2 linked regions of the Rhinolophus ferrumequinum genome follow. The main gene of each other region encodes a partner of the protein of the gene in region 2 in a complex. Links are inferred from orthologs where the notes say so. Each region holds a gene or a part of one and is shown on either strand. Other genes may lie near its edges.

Region 1 (7,806 bases), on a different chromosome or scaffold from region 2:
CCTTCCTCTCTTCTACCCCACGGAGCCACCACTTCTTCGCCTGCCAGGGGGTACCCCCAAAGTGGCGGGAAGAGCCCAACAGCCAGTGCCTGAGGCTGCCCCAGGCCCCAAGTGGAGGGGGTGGAGAGAGGGCTGGGCGAGGGAGGGGCTGGGACAGCTGCTGCCCCCTCCAGCCCCTCCCTTGGCTGTTGGCTCAAGGAGAAGGAATAGCAACTGGGGAACAGCTGCGGGACAGTGCTGCCTCATAGGTCTCTTTGTTTGGAGGGGCTGGGGGGGGCTGGGATGCGGGGAGTGGGGTAAGAAGGGCACACAGCTCCTCCAACCCAGAAAGAGTACCCCCTCCTTCAGGTGGACTTCTCAGCTCCCAGCTGTCACCCCACTCCTAGAGAGGGACGTGGGGAGTCTTTCTGACCCTCCTCCCAGGTGCCCAGACACTCGATTTCAGTCTTGAGACAATGCCTAGAGGAGGCCCCCTGGACGGCCTGTTCCAATCACTTATGGGAAACGAGGGAACTAGAGGAAGGAGGATGCCACCCCTGGTGGGGAACCCCACTACGTCTCCTCAAGCTTGGGAAGCTCCTTCCGCCTGGGCCCCCTCCCCTCCAACCTCAGCCTCAGGCCCAGCAGCAGAATTGCTGACAGCTTATCTCATCACCGGGAGTGAGCCACTTGGCCCAAATGGGGAATGGTTCCCTTCCTCTCGGCGGGAACCGAGGCACTTCCCTCCCCACCCCAAACCAGCTTTTGCTTCTTCCCCCTCTGCTCTGAGCCGGCCCCTCCACAGTTGAGCCAAGGGGCTGGAGCCAGGCACCACCATGGGGGAGGGGAGAGGTGCGCACAGGAAGGATGAGGCCTGGAGAGGGGCTAGCCGCCCCACAACCCAGAGGGGAGGGGAAAGCAGGGAGCAGCTTCCTACAAAGATATGCTGAGGCCCCCGGCTCTCCCCTGGAGACCCCACCTGGGACAGCCAGTCCTGTCCGTCAAATCCCCGGTGCAGGGGGGTGACAGACCAAGGGCAGACTCCCCTCAGACCCCTGCCAACACACACACACTCTCAATAGCCCTCACCCCCACTACACACCCCAGGGCCCCTCCCCCACTCCTGTCCTCAGGCTTGTCCTTCTGGAAAGCTCAGAGACATCTGCTGTGTCACGGAGGTAGGGCTATTTCCAGGCCAGAGCGGGTGGGGTGGGAGGGCAGTATTGGGGCAGGAGGGGGTAAGGCCTAGAGAGGGGACTGGACAAGGCAAAGGGCCCCCGACTGACCTCAGCTGCTAAATCAGGAGGCCTAGAGATGCCCTGAGGGAGAGTTGGGGGTGGACATTCAATTATCCGGAATAGACTCTGGGGCAGTCTGGCAGGAGAGGCATCTGACCCTAAGTTAAACCCCTCTCCTGGGGCCTTGGGGTGCACCCTTCACGGGACACTTTCCTGTAAATCACAGCTGGACTTTTAAGAGCTCACCACAGGGGTACACAGGAGTAGGGGGTCTGGCCCAGGCCACCAGCCTGCAGAGAGGACAGCAGAGCTTTGAGGGGAGGGGCAGCCTTTGGCCACTCAGAGTCCAACCTTGGCCTCTGGTTCCCAAGCCTAGAGTGTCTCCCCACCCCCACCCAGCACAGACACACCTTCCAAATCTGGTTACACTCAATGACTTCCTCCCTTCTACAGGCCTTCCCCTCCCTCCCCTCTGCCCCGAGCGTTAGTTGCAGCCAATCCCAGCTTAGGGGGTGGGCTGGGGCCGGGCCGGGCCTGGACGTGCGGAGACCCCTCCCTGGCACGCTGAGCCCGAGGAGGACTAGCGGGGGTTAAGGCTCCCGCGCTCGCTCAGTGCCTTTTTAGGTTTCTGAGGCTGGGCTCTGCTTGCCCCGGCCCCCGGGCCTGAACCCAGCTGCTTAACACATGCGGGCCACCGGCTCTCCGTCTGCCCCGGAGCCCCGGGATCGGCAGTGGTTGGGACCTGCCTTCAGCCCGCTCCTCCCGGTGGAGCTGCTGCAAGGCTGGGAAGCCTTTGCTTTGTTTGAGGGAAGACGCCCCCAGGAATCAGTAATGGGTACTGGCCCTGTCCTCTCAAGTATGGCTGGGGTTGCCCGATGGCAAGAAGGCGGACGATGAGTAGAGAGGCGGGTCTGTGGGACCGTGTAGGAGAAGGCTGAAGCCGGGGGACTCTGGACCCTCCGGGTATCTCCCCATCCCCCACCGCCCGCCGCTGTGCAGAGAGGGGCGTGAAGGCAGTGCCCGTGTGGCCAGCGTCGGTGGTGGCGGGAGAGCCGGGGTTCCCTCCCCGTGTCAGGGGGCTGCTCTCCTCCCTCTCTCTCAGCTCCCCGCACCCACCGGCACCTGTGTCCCGTCCCCACGGGCCAGCCGGTCCTCGGGGCACTCCCCTGCCCACACTGACCTATGGACACGAGCTTGATGTGCTCGCGCTCGAGGAACTCGAGGGCCACGGACACGTTCTCCAGCTTCATCTGGCGGAAGTTGGGGCGCGGGTGGAACTTGCGGTACATGCGCTTCTGGCTGAGCACCTCGAGCAGAGCGATGAGGCGCAGACCGTCGCTGAGGTCTCGCTGCAGGTCGGTCAGGCGCTTGCCCACGCACTTGAGGTGCTCGTTGCACCAGCGCGTGAATGTATTCTGCTGGATCTTCTTCCACGGAGCGTCCTCCGCCAGGTCCTTCTCCGTGGACGGCATGTCGTCTGCCTCGTCGCCCAGGCCGAGGCCCGCGGGCTCCGAGTAGCCGCTGTTGTTCATCATGCTGGCAGGGGTGGGTCGAGGGTTGTGCTGCCTGCTGGGCACGGGCTGGGCAGGGGCTGGGGGCGCTGTCGGGGCGCTGTCTGGGCGATCGCGGGACTCGCAGCTCTGCGCTGTGCGGCTCTCAACTTCTCTCGCGCCCCTGGCTGGCGGGACTCAGCGGGACTCTTCGCTCCTTGGCCGCTCGCTCTCTCTCTCTCTCTCTCTCTCTCCCTCTCCCTTCGGGGGCGGAGCGGTGCTCGGGAAGTGCCGGCCCGGCCGGGGCGGGGGGTTTAAGAAGCCCCGGGCCGCGCTCCCCCCGCCGCACTCGCAGCCCCCGGGTCCACGTCAGAGCGCCGGCCTCCCAGGAATGCCGCCCGGCCTGCGGGTGGGGGCCGCGCAGAGCCCGACCGCCCCGCCTCTGTCCTCCCCTCCCCCACGCGGCCCGATTGGCCCAAGGGGGGGGCTCCCCCGCCCCCCAGTTAGCTCCCCAGAGGGGCTAGTCCCTGGGGCGCTGCGTTGGAGAGGTGGAGCAGAGCTGGAAGGTGGGGGGTAGGGCACCCAACACCCCAAAACTAAGCATTGCCCGTCAGAGATTAAATATGTCCCCTCCACGTCCCGCAGGACTAAAGAGATCAATAGGGAAACTGAGGTCAGTGGTTAGGGTAAAACACAGTGATCTGGTGTTGACAAAATTTTCTGGATGAATTGGTGACAGGGCCTGGGAGTCCTGGCTCCTAGCCCAGGGTACTGTCCACCTGTGCCAGGGAAGGGAAGTGTGTGCTAGTACAGAGATGGACTGAGAGGAAATAAGGATACCGCCCAGGCCAATTGGGGAGAAGGTGTGATGGTTGTGGTGGGGGGTGGTGCTTCACTTTTACAGGTAGAAAAGCCTAGTTTGAAGGCCAAACCCAGGGTCCCAGGAGAAAGACTGAGGCTGCCCCTGACTCAGTGTCCCCGTCACCAGCCTGTTTGGCCTCATCCCCTCAGAATGAAGCTGAGCTCAGGAAAAGAGTACCCAGTGAGTCACACTGTGCACCCCCCCAAGTCTGACTCAACCAAGGTGATGAGTGGGAAGGGAGAAACTGCCCTGTAGTAGCAGGGAGCCCCCTGGGCAAGGTGCCCATTTGGGCCACAGGGCAGATCCTTCCAGTGAAAGGGCGGGTTCGCCAGACAAAGAGGGAGAGCCCTGCCCAGAGCAGCCAAGGGGAAACGTGACAGGGGCTGGTGGGCAGAGAGAGCCCAAGGGAGCCAGCCAGGAAGCCTAGGCAGGACTGGGCGAGGGAATGGTGACAGCAAGGAAACTTGAGGCAGTCAAATAGGAGCTGGCCTGGGATGACAGAGCTATAGAATATATATACAGAGAATATAAATCCATAATTTTGTAGCATGCATGTGGTCCATATCCCCTGGTATTCCCTTTGCGCTGTATTTCCTCAGCTTTCCCATTCTTCAAGAACAAGTAAGTTTGGGCCAGACATTCCCCGATTCAAGCTGTGTGATAATTGAAGTTTGGGAAGGTTCTGGGACCTTAGAGGTATAACATTCTACCTTATTCCTCTTCTACCCCCAGGGAGAAGGGGGATAGCGGACAGAATGAGGGCAATCTCCATTATGGAGCTCAGAAAGAAGTTCCCGGGTTTTGTGGGCGGGAGTGCTTATGTGAAAGGGGTCCATGAATGATTTCTTTCCCTTCTCATTAGGTAGGGAGGGGGAGGAGTAGAGAAGGGGCCAGAAACAGAAAAGAGAACTGCTGTGTGTAGCTTGTGAGGGGGGAGCTCTGGGGGCCCTAATAGTGACAGGCAAGGTATAAATAGCCTGGGCCCTGCGGCTCATGTTCTGTCGGCTGCCTGTGACGAGGTGCTCAGGAATTCCACTCTCCTACTGGCACCCCCCTTCCCTATCTCCAGAATTCTCATTGCCCCATGCCACCTTTGTCCCACGGCCAAAACCAACCACCAGGCATCAGTGTTGACCGTCTACTTTAGAGGCTGAGCTCTCCTGTGGAGAGATGCCCAGCTCCTGGGGACACATGACACATAGCTGGGTCTCACAAGGGAAGTGTGTGTGTTTGTGAGTGTGTGTGTGTGTGTGTGTGTGTGTGTGTAAAAATGGCAGACTTCTGACACCTAACCTGAGGTGCCAGCTCAGGATTCAGCGATGTCTCTGAAGCCCTGATGAAGAAACTGAGGTACAGATCTGAGAAAGGATAGGTTCCTCTCTCTGAGCTGCTAGGGAGAAGAGAAAGGGGTAAAATGGGTTTCCTTGGAGCCAACAGCCCCTTTACAAATCCTAGTGGCTCATAGTCCTGTTTTGGGGCATTACTTGGTGTGTCCCCCAGTCAGTTAAGGTCCTCCATTGAGGTGGGAGGGTTCAGAGGGAGGCCAGTGAGTGGAGAAAGAAGTCTCCTCTCTCCCCCCTCTCATTCCCTCTCTCCAAGAGAGGTCCGTAAGAGGCCCCTGAGGAGTAAGTGAATGGTCTCAGTAGAGCAGGGTACCCAGTGCCAAGGATGGTTCCCAGCACCCTTCTTACCCCCCTTCCCCAGAAACCTGAGCCTGTTGCTCTCCAGGATAAATCGGGGCCTGACTCAGGCCCCAGCCAGCCAGTCCCAGCAGCCTGACCCAGGCGCAGGCTGGTGACTCAGCTCTCAATATAGCCCATGAGCCCAGGCCTCAGGCCTGGCCATGAGGGCTGGAACAGACCGTGCGCAATGCTGGTCCTACGGCCTGCCAAGTGGGGCCGCCTCCCTGAGGAAGGGCCAAGCCAGGCAGGGGCACATAGAGGGGCTTACAGGGGGTTTCATCAGCTGAGCATTTGGGGTAACGCTGGCTGGGGCCATAGGCTGTTTATAGCCCCCTGACTCACCACCCGCTGACCTGTCTCAGAGGACCAGGTTGCCTTTCACTTGGCCCTACTTCTCCCATCAAGGGGCTCATCAGCCACGGACAGTGGCCATAATTAACTTGGGCTAAACAGAGTCAGAGTGAGCGGGTCCAATGGGCCATGTTTGAGAATCCTGTTTTTCTGGAGCCAGGGACATTTCCACAGTCACCCGTTATGAGAGGAGACTGGCCAGGCTCACAGCAGGTCCTTGGATCAATCGGTGATACTGACTGTGGCCCTGACCTGGGTGCCAGGGACGGTGGGGTCGGATGGAAAGATCCATAGACTTTATAACCTTGGGCAGGTAATGTAACTCCTTTGGGTTTCAGTTTTCTCATCTGTGAAATGGAGTTAATGTTGTCATGGCGATTTTTTATGTATGAAGATGAAAGGAGGGAACATGTAAAATGAGCGTGGTGCCTGGCAGCTAATAGGTGATCAGAAAAAAAGTTCGTCTGCTTTCTCTGCTGGTATCTCGGGGACCATCTGGGGTCTGGTGAGTGAGGCCTTCCTCCCAGCTCTGTTTCTATCCCTTGTAGAATCCACCGCCAGGATCTTCACACTCCTCCAGTCTTCCCTTCCGTGATCCCCGAATCCACCTGCCAGAATCAGAACCAGGGTACCTCTGATCTTTAGAACCACCCACCCTGCTCCTTAATAGCAGTTGGTCCTTGACAGGAGTGGCAGGTGGTGTGCTCTAGCACGTGGCCTGGGAAGAGAAAGCCGAGGGGGGCTGTTGTGCTGGGAGAGAGCAGAAAAGCAGCAGTGACGCAGAGGGCAGTAGAGCGGGAGAGGGAGGCCCCTGAAGCTGTTTTGAGTCCTTGGTTCTATCTGTACTCCAGCCTGGGTGCGTGCCTGCCTGGGGCTTCTAGGAGACACCCCTGTAGACTTAAAACAAGCTCAAGTGACTGTTTCACATTCAACCCGGAGAGACCTCTTTGATCTACTCTGGTAACAGTGTATGAATAAGGCTAGGAGTCAAAGCCTAAAGGGATGAAGAGGAGAGCACTCTAAAATGAGCCAACAGGAGCCAAGTGTCCTAAAGGGAAGAGCTCTGTATGCTAAGCAAAAAGGCTAGGGAAAAACGGGACCATTTTCCTAGCTTTGCCCAGGCTCTAGATTTGGGCCTGGGAAGGATCTGATAAAGTCCCGACTGGGGGCCCACTGCCTACCAGACCGTGACCTCCACCTTGACTTCTCATTCCAAGTTAAATCAGTGATCTTTGATGGTAGGTAATCCTCCACTCTTTTTTTTTTTATTTTATTAAAATTTATTGGGGTGACAATGGTTCAGTCTTTTCCAGCCAACTGGTGGCCGGAGTAAAGGGAATAAAAAGCAGGGTTTCACTACACTCACCAGCGAGGGGCCAGTCGCCCCAGGTGAGTTGTGAAAGAATTTCTTCCGTTAGGTTACGACTGAGAACACACAATCTAATTGAGGGCAGTGCTTCTCAAATGTTATTGTGCCTAATAACTGGGGATCTTGTTAAAAGGCGGACTCTGCGTCAGCAGGTCGGAGGTAGGGGCTGAGCTTCTGCCCTGCCGATGCCGATGCTGCTGGTCTCTGGACCCGTGGGAGTAGCTGGGGGGCTACGCACCCCGAGGTCAGCACTGTCGTCACAGAGTAGTCACTTGGAGGCAGAAGGGATGCATGTCACTGCCCTCGATCTGGCTGGGTGCGGCCCTGTTTATAGCACTGGCCCAGGCCTGCCAGGGTGGACTCCCAGTCCAGCCTTGTCACTCCTCTGGGCTGCACACAACTTAAAAATCTCCTAATTCGGGGTGGCCGGTTAGCTCAGTTGGTTAGAGTGCGGTGCTGGTAACACCAAGGTTGCCAGTTCGATCCCTGCATGGGCCACGGTGAGCTGAGCTCTCCTCAAGGGGGAAAAAAAAATTCTCCTAATTCTAAATGTTGTTGCTACTCTCGCTAGGAAAGGCCGGGGAAGAAATGAATTCATTTAGTGCTGTGCAGTGCCCACCACTCTACATGCTCTATAGGTTGTTTTGGATTATTTGGATGAATGAAATAGACTCCTGGTATCAGGGGGAAAGGAGACAGAGGTCCCAGGAAACCAGCCACTGGTCACGGGGGCCATTCTGTCCACTGCGGTGTATGAACACACTTGGGGCCTTTTATATGGAAACATTCATGATCAGAACAACCAATCACAAGGACACTCATAAATTATCCTCAT
Region 2 (7,202 bases):
GGGTAAGGAGGGCCACTCCAAGGCCTCCCTCTGTATGAATTTCAACTGGCCCCCTGGGCAATCTTGGTGACTGATGGACAATAACAACAAAAACAACATATGCTGGTAAATTTCTCCTAAATTGGTTTATATGTTTGGTTAAAATGTATAGCTCAGTCTGGTCATAAAATATCTGTTCTGAAAAAGAAACCAATCTATGAAGAAAGCTTCAAAATTCTTTAAAATATTTCTCTTTTGTGTCTTGTTTTATGTGATGTCTGGAAGTGTATACGCTTATATTGACTGTCATAATCTTTGGTTTTATGCTGGGACTTGCTGGGACTTCAGGCCCCAAGGGAAGGGGCCAAGCTGGGGACTTTCAAAGCCTGGTCTGTTGGGTCCAGTAGTCAGGTACCGGCAGGAAAGGGAAGCTCAACTTCCCTCTGGTCCCTCTGCCCCCACGTTTGCTACAAGTTTAATTATCAATTTTTGTAAACAACTTTCAGAGTGCATCTGAGATTTAAATATAAGAAACAACAGGGCACTGGTTGATAAAGCATTGGCTGTGCCAGGCGCTGTGTGCCATGCACTGTGCCCCCAGGGCCTTCCATGTCTCAAAACTCATCTAATTCTCAAAACAGCCCGTTTTGCCCCTACTTCATGGATGGACCACGTGAGGCCCCAAGAGGTTAAATGACTTTTACAGGCCATCCGTGGCAGACTAGGAATTCTAACGGAGCGCTATCTGATCTGCGTCCACAGGGTGTCCTAGGACCTGAGACACACCTTTTCATCCCTGGGTGGCATGGGGGCCCCAAATTCTCAGGCCTGTTCTCACCCCAGAATGCCCCAATCTGAACCAATCACCTTGTGGTCAGTGTATTCTGGGCTTTCCCAAGACTTCTGTGGATGCCCCCTCTACCTCCTTCTCACCCAGCTCTGACCCTCACTCCACCCCTTAAGGAAGTTGGATCTGGCGGTTTCTCGGAAAACATCCAAGGCAAGCTTCCCAGTGCTGACGCCAGATGTTCACAGCTGGGCACCCCCCCCTCCCCACACACACACACACACACACACACACACACTCCCTGCGGTTCTTGCTGGGACTTCAGGCCCCAAGGGAAGGGGCCAAGCTGGGGACTTTCAAAGCCTGGTCTGTTGGGTCAGTAGTCAGGCACCGGCAGGAAAGGGAAGCTCAACTTCCCTCTGGTCCCTCTGCCCCCACGTTACTCTGGAGTGGGGTACATGTGAGAAAACTCCCTGTGGGGCACCCAGAGGACCCTCCACCCCCATCCTTCCTCCCTCAGAGGGTGAATCTGAGATCCAGTTGGGTAAGCAGAGAAAGTGGGAACAAAGGGAAGGAAAGTCATTTCCTGTCAAGAGGAAGGAAGGAGGCTGAGATCCAGCCAGCCAGACACCCAGCCGGCTTTAAGCTAAAGCCCAGGGCAGGGACGGCCGGGCTGAGTGGGAGGGCCTCCAGGGGCTACCGGTAGTGACCCCTGCCATTGTCCCCTGTCCTATTCCTTCTAACCCCTTCCCAAAACTCTGGAACAGCCCCTAAGCTTTGTTCTTTGATACTCTATAAGCAATCTATGCTTGGTTTGGAATTAAAGTTTGAGGGAGGGGGAGGTGTGACTGTACCCCTTACCCCCCTCCACCGCAGGGGACCTTGCAGCCTTAGATAGGTGTTCCCCCTCCCTGTCTCCCACTCCAGGGAAGTGGAGGAGGCACAGGGCTGGGTTTACAGGGGCCCCACTGCTTTCCTGCTGGGCGACACTGAGCAGGTTACAGAACCTCTCTGGGCTCCAGGTTGTTTATAAAGTGAGAATAATGAGGTCTGTCCTGACCGCTGGCTGGCTGAGGGACTAAAAGGAAAGATGGTGCTCAAGATCTTGGTACAGTAAGTGCAAAGAGAAGGCCAGCTGGTTATTCAGCCCCTGGGGGGGAAGAGGAACCCTTAGGGACTAGGCTCCTGGGGGTCCTAGGAGGCCCAGGACTTAGCTTCTGTCATTATGAAGAACAGAAATCTAGGCACACCGCCCAGCGTCTTCCGTGGGTCCTCAGATCTGGGCAGGAGGAGGACCCATGCCACCAAGCACACACCTTGGGGATCGCCCAGGCTCACCCTGTCCCAAACACCTATGGGGTCTAAGGCCCAGAGAGGGGCAGCCCTGGGGCCCCCCTCCTTGCCCCTCCCCTAACCCTAGCTGGGTAAAAGGGCCCGCAGGTCCCCGGAGCTCCAGAAACCCGGCGCCCTCCCGCAAGCAGCCAAGCAGGGCGGCTGGCCGGGTCACCATGGGGCACCGCCAGGGACTTTAATTCGTTCCATGTGCGGGACGCTGTCTGTCCTCTTTGTGCGGGAGCTTCCGCCCTGCCCACCCCCGCCCCTGGCGCTCCGCTCCTGGGCAGGGACACCAACCCTACCCCCTACTCCGGGGACAGAAACGGAGGAACTGAGGACGGAAGGATAGCCCCCACCCCCAGCCCGTTCCCCAGCCCCCTCCAGGGGGCAGGGGTCCCGGCTGGGGGCGGGGTAGGCTTCGGCCTGGGGTTGCCCGCACTGTCACTTGTGTGTGGCCAGGGCAAGGCCTGATGGGCGAGAACCCCCCAACCCCCACCCCGCTTACCTGGGCCGCCCGCGCCCCAGCCGGCTCCGGTCCGACGCCAGAGCGAGCAGAGCCGGGAGGAGCGCGGGCCTCCCGCCCCTCCGCCCTCCCCGCCCCCTGGCTCCCTCCGCCCCGCAGCCCCGGCCGCCTTACCATAAAAGGTGAGGCTTGGGGGAGGGGGCCTGGGATTCCCGCCCGGCGGAAGCGGCCCCTACCTGCCCCCCCACCTGGCCGGCCGCGCCCCGCGCTGCCCCCTCCCCCTCTCTTTGTTCCCTCGACCCCTCCTCCCTTCCCCCGGCCCAGGCCTGGCGGGTGGGAGGGCTCTCCCACTGACACCCACCCACCCCGTGTCCTTTGTGCACCTTGAGTGGTCTTTATTCTCCCTCTCCCCCTGGGTTGGTGGCCCTACCTGCCCTGTCAGGTGGAAGGGGCGCTTACACCTCAGTTTGGCCTGGAAGCTCCCAAGGTCCTATGAGTCAGTTAGACGTGGGTTCCATGGCCATTCACTAACTACCTGGGCAGTAGCCTGTTTCTTTGTAAAACCGGGGGTATGGCTGCCTACCTGTCAGGGTCAGCCTGAGGATAAAATATGACAATGACAGTGAGGAGAGCACAGAGAATGGTCAATATATGCTGGGCTTGGGGCTTTTTTAGGGTGTGCCTCAGTGAAACAGGTCACCTGGATTTGGTGTCCTGAGCTGTCACTACCTGTCTGGAACTCTTCAGCCCTCTGTAGGTGGGTCCCAGGGTCCTTGGGGGGACAGACCCCTCCAGGAGGTCTGGTAGGCAAGGCCCAGCAGGCAATCAGGTCACCTGTCATGGACCCCCTCCCACCTCCTGCACTCCCACCTCCAAGCTGGAGTGGATAGATAATGCAGGGGGGAGGGGAAGCTGAGCCTGGGCCCTGGGGCGGGAGATGGAGCCGGGATGGGCCGCCTGAGTCCCTGGAGGCCTAGGGAACATTGCTGGGAAAAGGAATCTGGGTCTGATTCAGAGGCAAACAGATTGTTCTTTTGATTAAAGCCACAGTGGCTGAGGCCAGAAGAGCACTGGACCCTGCGCCATCTGGGGGGAGGCCAGGCATGGTGTGGCTGTCCTCTGCTGGCCCGAAGCTGCAGTCACGCTGCTCAGGGTGGCCCTTGGGCTGCTTTTGAGGGGCTCACGCTCGTGGGGGTTCTGAGGGGTGTGCCTTGAACCCTGTCCCACGCTCTTCCACCCTCACCCCACCTTAAATACCTCACCCACTTTTTGTCATCCTTTTTTCATTTGATCCTCACAGCTGAAACTGAGAGTCTCTATGACTTTCATTAAAATTAGCTTTAAATCCTAGCTCTAGATCTCTCTCTCTCAATCTCCTCGGTCCCCTCAGAGAACTCGTCTTTCCCTGCAGATAATCAGCAACCCCGAGGCACCAGAAGACAGTAGCCGAGACCTGACCAATGGTCAATCTGGATGTCTGGCAGCTAAGATGACGTCTTGACCTCCTGAGCCCTGAGTGGAACGACCCTTTGGCTACTTTCCCATCAGGCCAGAGAGACTACCCTTACCTCACCTCCCACAAATCAGCTCCCAGCACGAGCCCGCACCCCCTAACCCACAGTGTCTTGTGATTTTTTTCCTATATAATTTGTAACCTACACACCCTTGGGGAGTCAGGTTTTTGAGCATAAGCTCCCTGTCTCCATATTGGCCAGTTCGATACTAAACTATTTTTTTTTTCTATACTATAAACACCTATTCGTGCATTTCTTTGGGCCACTGCGCACAGGTAGGTGGATTCAAAAAACAAAACAAAATGTTGGGGTTCCGGTAACAGCCACTCTGCAATAACAACAGCAGCAGTAGCAGTGGTTGCCATTTATAGGGGTTCCTGTGAGCCGTGTCCGGCCTACAGGCCTGCTCTCCATTTGATCCCCAGGAGAGCCCTGTGCAGTGGGGCTGATTATTCCTGCTTCACAAATGAGGAAAGTGAGGCCCAGAGAGGCTCAAGGCCACACAAGGGGCAAGTGGCAGAGCTGGATTCAAGCCCAGACTAGTAGGTGCCCCTGGGTTCACGGCTCTGTTGGTCCCAGGGACCGGGTGACTGCCACTCTCCCCAGATTCAGAAGCTGAGGCTCAGAGAAGCAGCCAGAGTTCTTGAGGCAGAGGGAGACTCGCACTCAAGGCTGCCAGAGCACCTGGTAGGGCTCATTCCTGGCCTGGCAGTGGTGCCTCCCACTTTGCAACGTTTAGAATGAGACTTCGCTATACCTCCCCCAGAAGGAAGGAGGGAACTGCTGAACGCCAGACATGGGAAGGACCTTAAGGAGGAAGGTGAGACCCAGGGGTTTTCAGACACTTTGAGCTGTAGAACCCCCTTCTCAAGTGCTTTGTGACCCAGAAGCTTATTTAAAACAGAAAAATGCAGCTGCCCTCCCCCACCTCCATGATTTCCCCCAAGCCACCTCACTGTGCCCCCCGTGGGACAATGAGGCACCAAAGAGTTGACTTGGGAACTTGTCCAAGGTTACACGGACCCAGTCTTGGACCCAGACATCCTCTTATCTCTTCTGGGCTAAGACTGGCTCAGGAGGAGGAAGGTCAAAGGGGAATGTGGGGGTCTGGCTGCCACCACTTACCTGCTGTCCAGCACCCCCAGCTGCCTGTCCCACCTCTGTTGCAGCTCCCAGGTAGAAAGGAGTGTCCTGGCCAAGGGTCTCCCGCACCAACCCAGGTGTCAGTGTCACCTTGGTAGGTGCCAAGCTTCCTGCAATGGAAACCCAGGAAGTGCGCTGGATGAGAACACACGCCCTTTGTCTGCCAGCTCAGAGGCCCTGTTCCCCTCCTCCCTCCTTGCCATCCTCGGACCAGCTTTCTTCCAAGCAACTGAGCAAGGGCTCAATCTTCTCTTAGGGTTGTGGCAGCTGAGACCCTGGGTGGCCGGGAAGGGGTAGGAGATAGGTTTGGGGGCAGGCCCAAGGCAGTGGGGACACTTGCTGCTGTCCAGTCTGAAGGGGAGGGGAGCATGGCACCTGCTGCCAACAGTAGGAGGAGGGCTTTGATCCAACAAGCATTAATTGGGCACCTACTATGTGCTAGGCAGATACAATCAATCCTTGTCTCCATGGAACTTACAGGGAGATAGGGGAGATATTAATGAAAATTAATATAATACTTACCAGTGGTGAAGTGTGAATGAATAAAGCACTGAGACAGAATAAGGGGTGCAGGTGAGGGTAGGGCAGGCCTCTCTGGGTGGGTGGGTGGGGGCCTTTAAGCTGAGACGAGGAGGAGCCAGCCATGAGAACAGGAGGAGGGAGGCAGTAGGGAAAACATGGATTTTGAGGTCAGACTTAGGCTTAACTCCCAGCTCTCGGGTGCTGGCTTTGACCTTGGCCAAGTCCCTTTCCTTTTTGAAGCTCCATTTCCTCACCTGTAACATAGGAGAGCTGGGCTGGATGCCTTTGAATGGGGATGTGAATCCCTCCCTTTGCAACTGTTGGGGACAGAGGCACTGAAAAGGCACCCTCGGGGCCTCGGGTCGCTGTCCCACGGATGGTAGCGCTAGCTATTCTTACATCACTCTCGCCTGGTTTCCAGTGCTCTCTGCTCACATGGTCCATATGCTCGACAGCTAGATCTGAGAACAGGGACAAGGCTCCCTGAGCTGAAGTCCCCGGGGCCCAGAGACCTCGAGGACAGAAAGCATCTGTCTGTCCAACTGCCGTCCCCCTTGCCAGGCTCCACTGGGGCCAGGTCAGAGCAGAACTGTCAGGCCCAGCCTGGGGGTGCCCAGATGTGCAGCTGCATGAAGTTGTACATTCAGGTCACAGAAGGGTGCCCACTTCCTCAGCAGTCTCAGAAGCCGCCCCACTCCCGCCCGGGGCCATCTAGCTCTGCTCCTGCCCCTCTCTCCATCCTCCTCTATGCCTGCTCGGAGTCAGGTCCGTTCAACACATTTCCTGAGCATCTCCTGTATGGGGGGCTCTGTGCTCGGGGCTGGACAGGGGGTGAATCAATACAGAGAAGTGGGAGCCCCCCCACACTGTAGCAGGGGCGGGGCTGGGGCAAGCACAGATATGAGTAACATCAATATCCGTGGTGAATCCAGCTCTGACACTTGCCAGCCTGTTACCTTGGGCAAGTCACTTCTCCCTGAGCCTCAGTTTCCTCTTGTAACCTGGGGGTAGCAGTACCTCCCTGTGGCTTCATTGTGGGGATTTGATAGGAGGAATGTGGATAAATATGCCTGGTGCTTAGTAGGTGTTCAGGGGTGAGTTCCTTTCCTTTTCCCATCCTACAGATGAAGGAGGTTTCAGGATTTTGCAGGGAGATGGACAAAGTGCTGAAGGTAAGGAAGAGACTTAGTCCCATGAGATAATCTAAGGGACATGGTTTCTGTCAGCCAGTGTCACTTTCCCGGATTCTGGTAACAGTATCCAGTTTCTGTTTGGGGAACCTCACCCCTACTCTTAGTGCCTGGATGGAATTATTTGGAAAGAGTCAGTATTTTTCCAGGCTGTCAGGATGCAAGCTTGGCATCATTTTTGCCAACACTTGGACCAACATGGAGGACAGGAGAGCAAAGATGATAGAGAAGGAGAGATAACTGATTTCATCACTTCAGCTGCTGGATAA

The links. The genes of interacting proteins can lie anywhere in the genome.
Region 1: the proteins of FBLIM1 (region 2) and FLNC are in contact, whole or in part, in an NMR structure (PDB 2K9U), measured with the Homo sapiens proteins. The link is inferred for Rhinolophus ferrumequinum from reciprocal best matches to the Homo sapiens genes FBLIM1 and FLNC. Residues at the interface, in NP_001337080.1 of Homo sapiens: Arg8, Val9, Ala10, Ser11, Ser12, Val13, Phe14, Ile15, Thr16, Leu17, Pro19; in NP_001449.3 of Homo sapiens: Thr2339, Ala2344, Gly2345, Gly2346, Leu2347, Ser2348, Ile2349, Ala2350, Val2351, Glu2352, Gly2353, Pro2354, Ser2355, Lys2356, Ile2359, Phe2361, Asp2380, Glu2382, Phe2387.

Annotation. Positions count from the first base shown.
Region 1 is NC_046309.1:17,312,090-17,319,895, forward strand, and holds the start of FLNC (filamin-C), read right to left. Parts: upstream 3,011-7,806; 5' UTR 2,753-3,010; coding exon 2,398-2,752; intron 1-2,397.
Region 2 is NC_046292.1:10,559,180-10,566,381, reverse strand, and holds the start of FBLIM1 (filamin-binding LIM protein 1), read right to left. Parts: upstream 3,017-7,202; 5' UTR 2,995-3,016; intron 2,701-2,994; exon of another isoform or gene 2,607-2,700; intron 1-2,606. UniProt on the Homo sapiens protein: Serves as an anchoring site for cell-ECM adhesion proteins and filamin-containing actin filaments. Is implicated in cell shape modulation (spreading) and motility.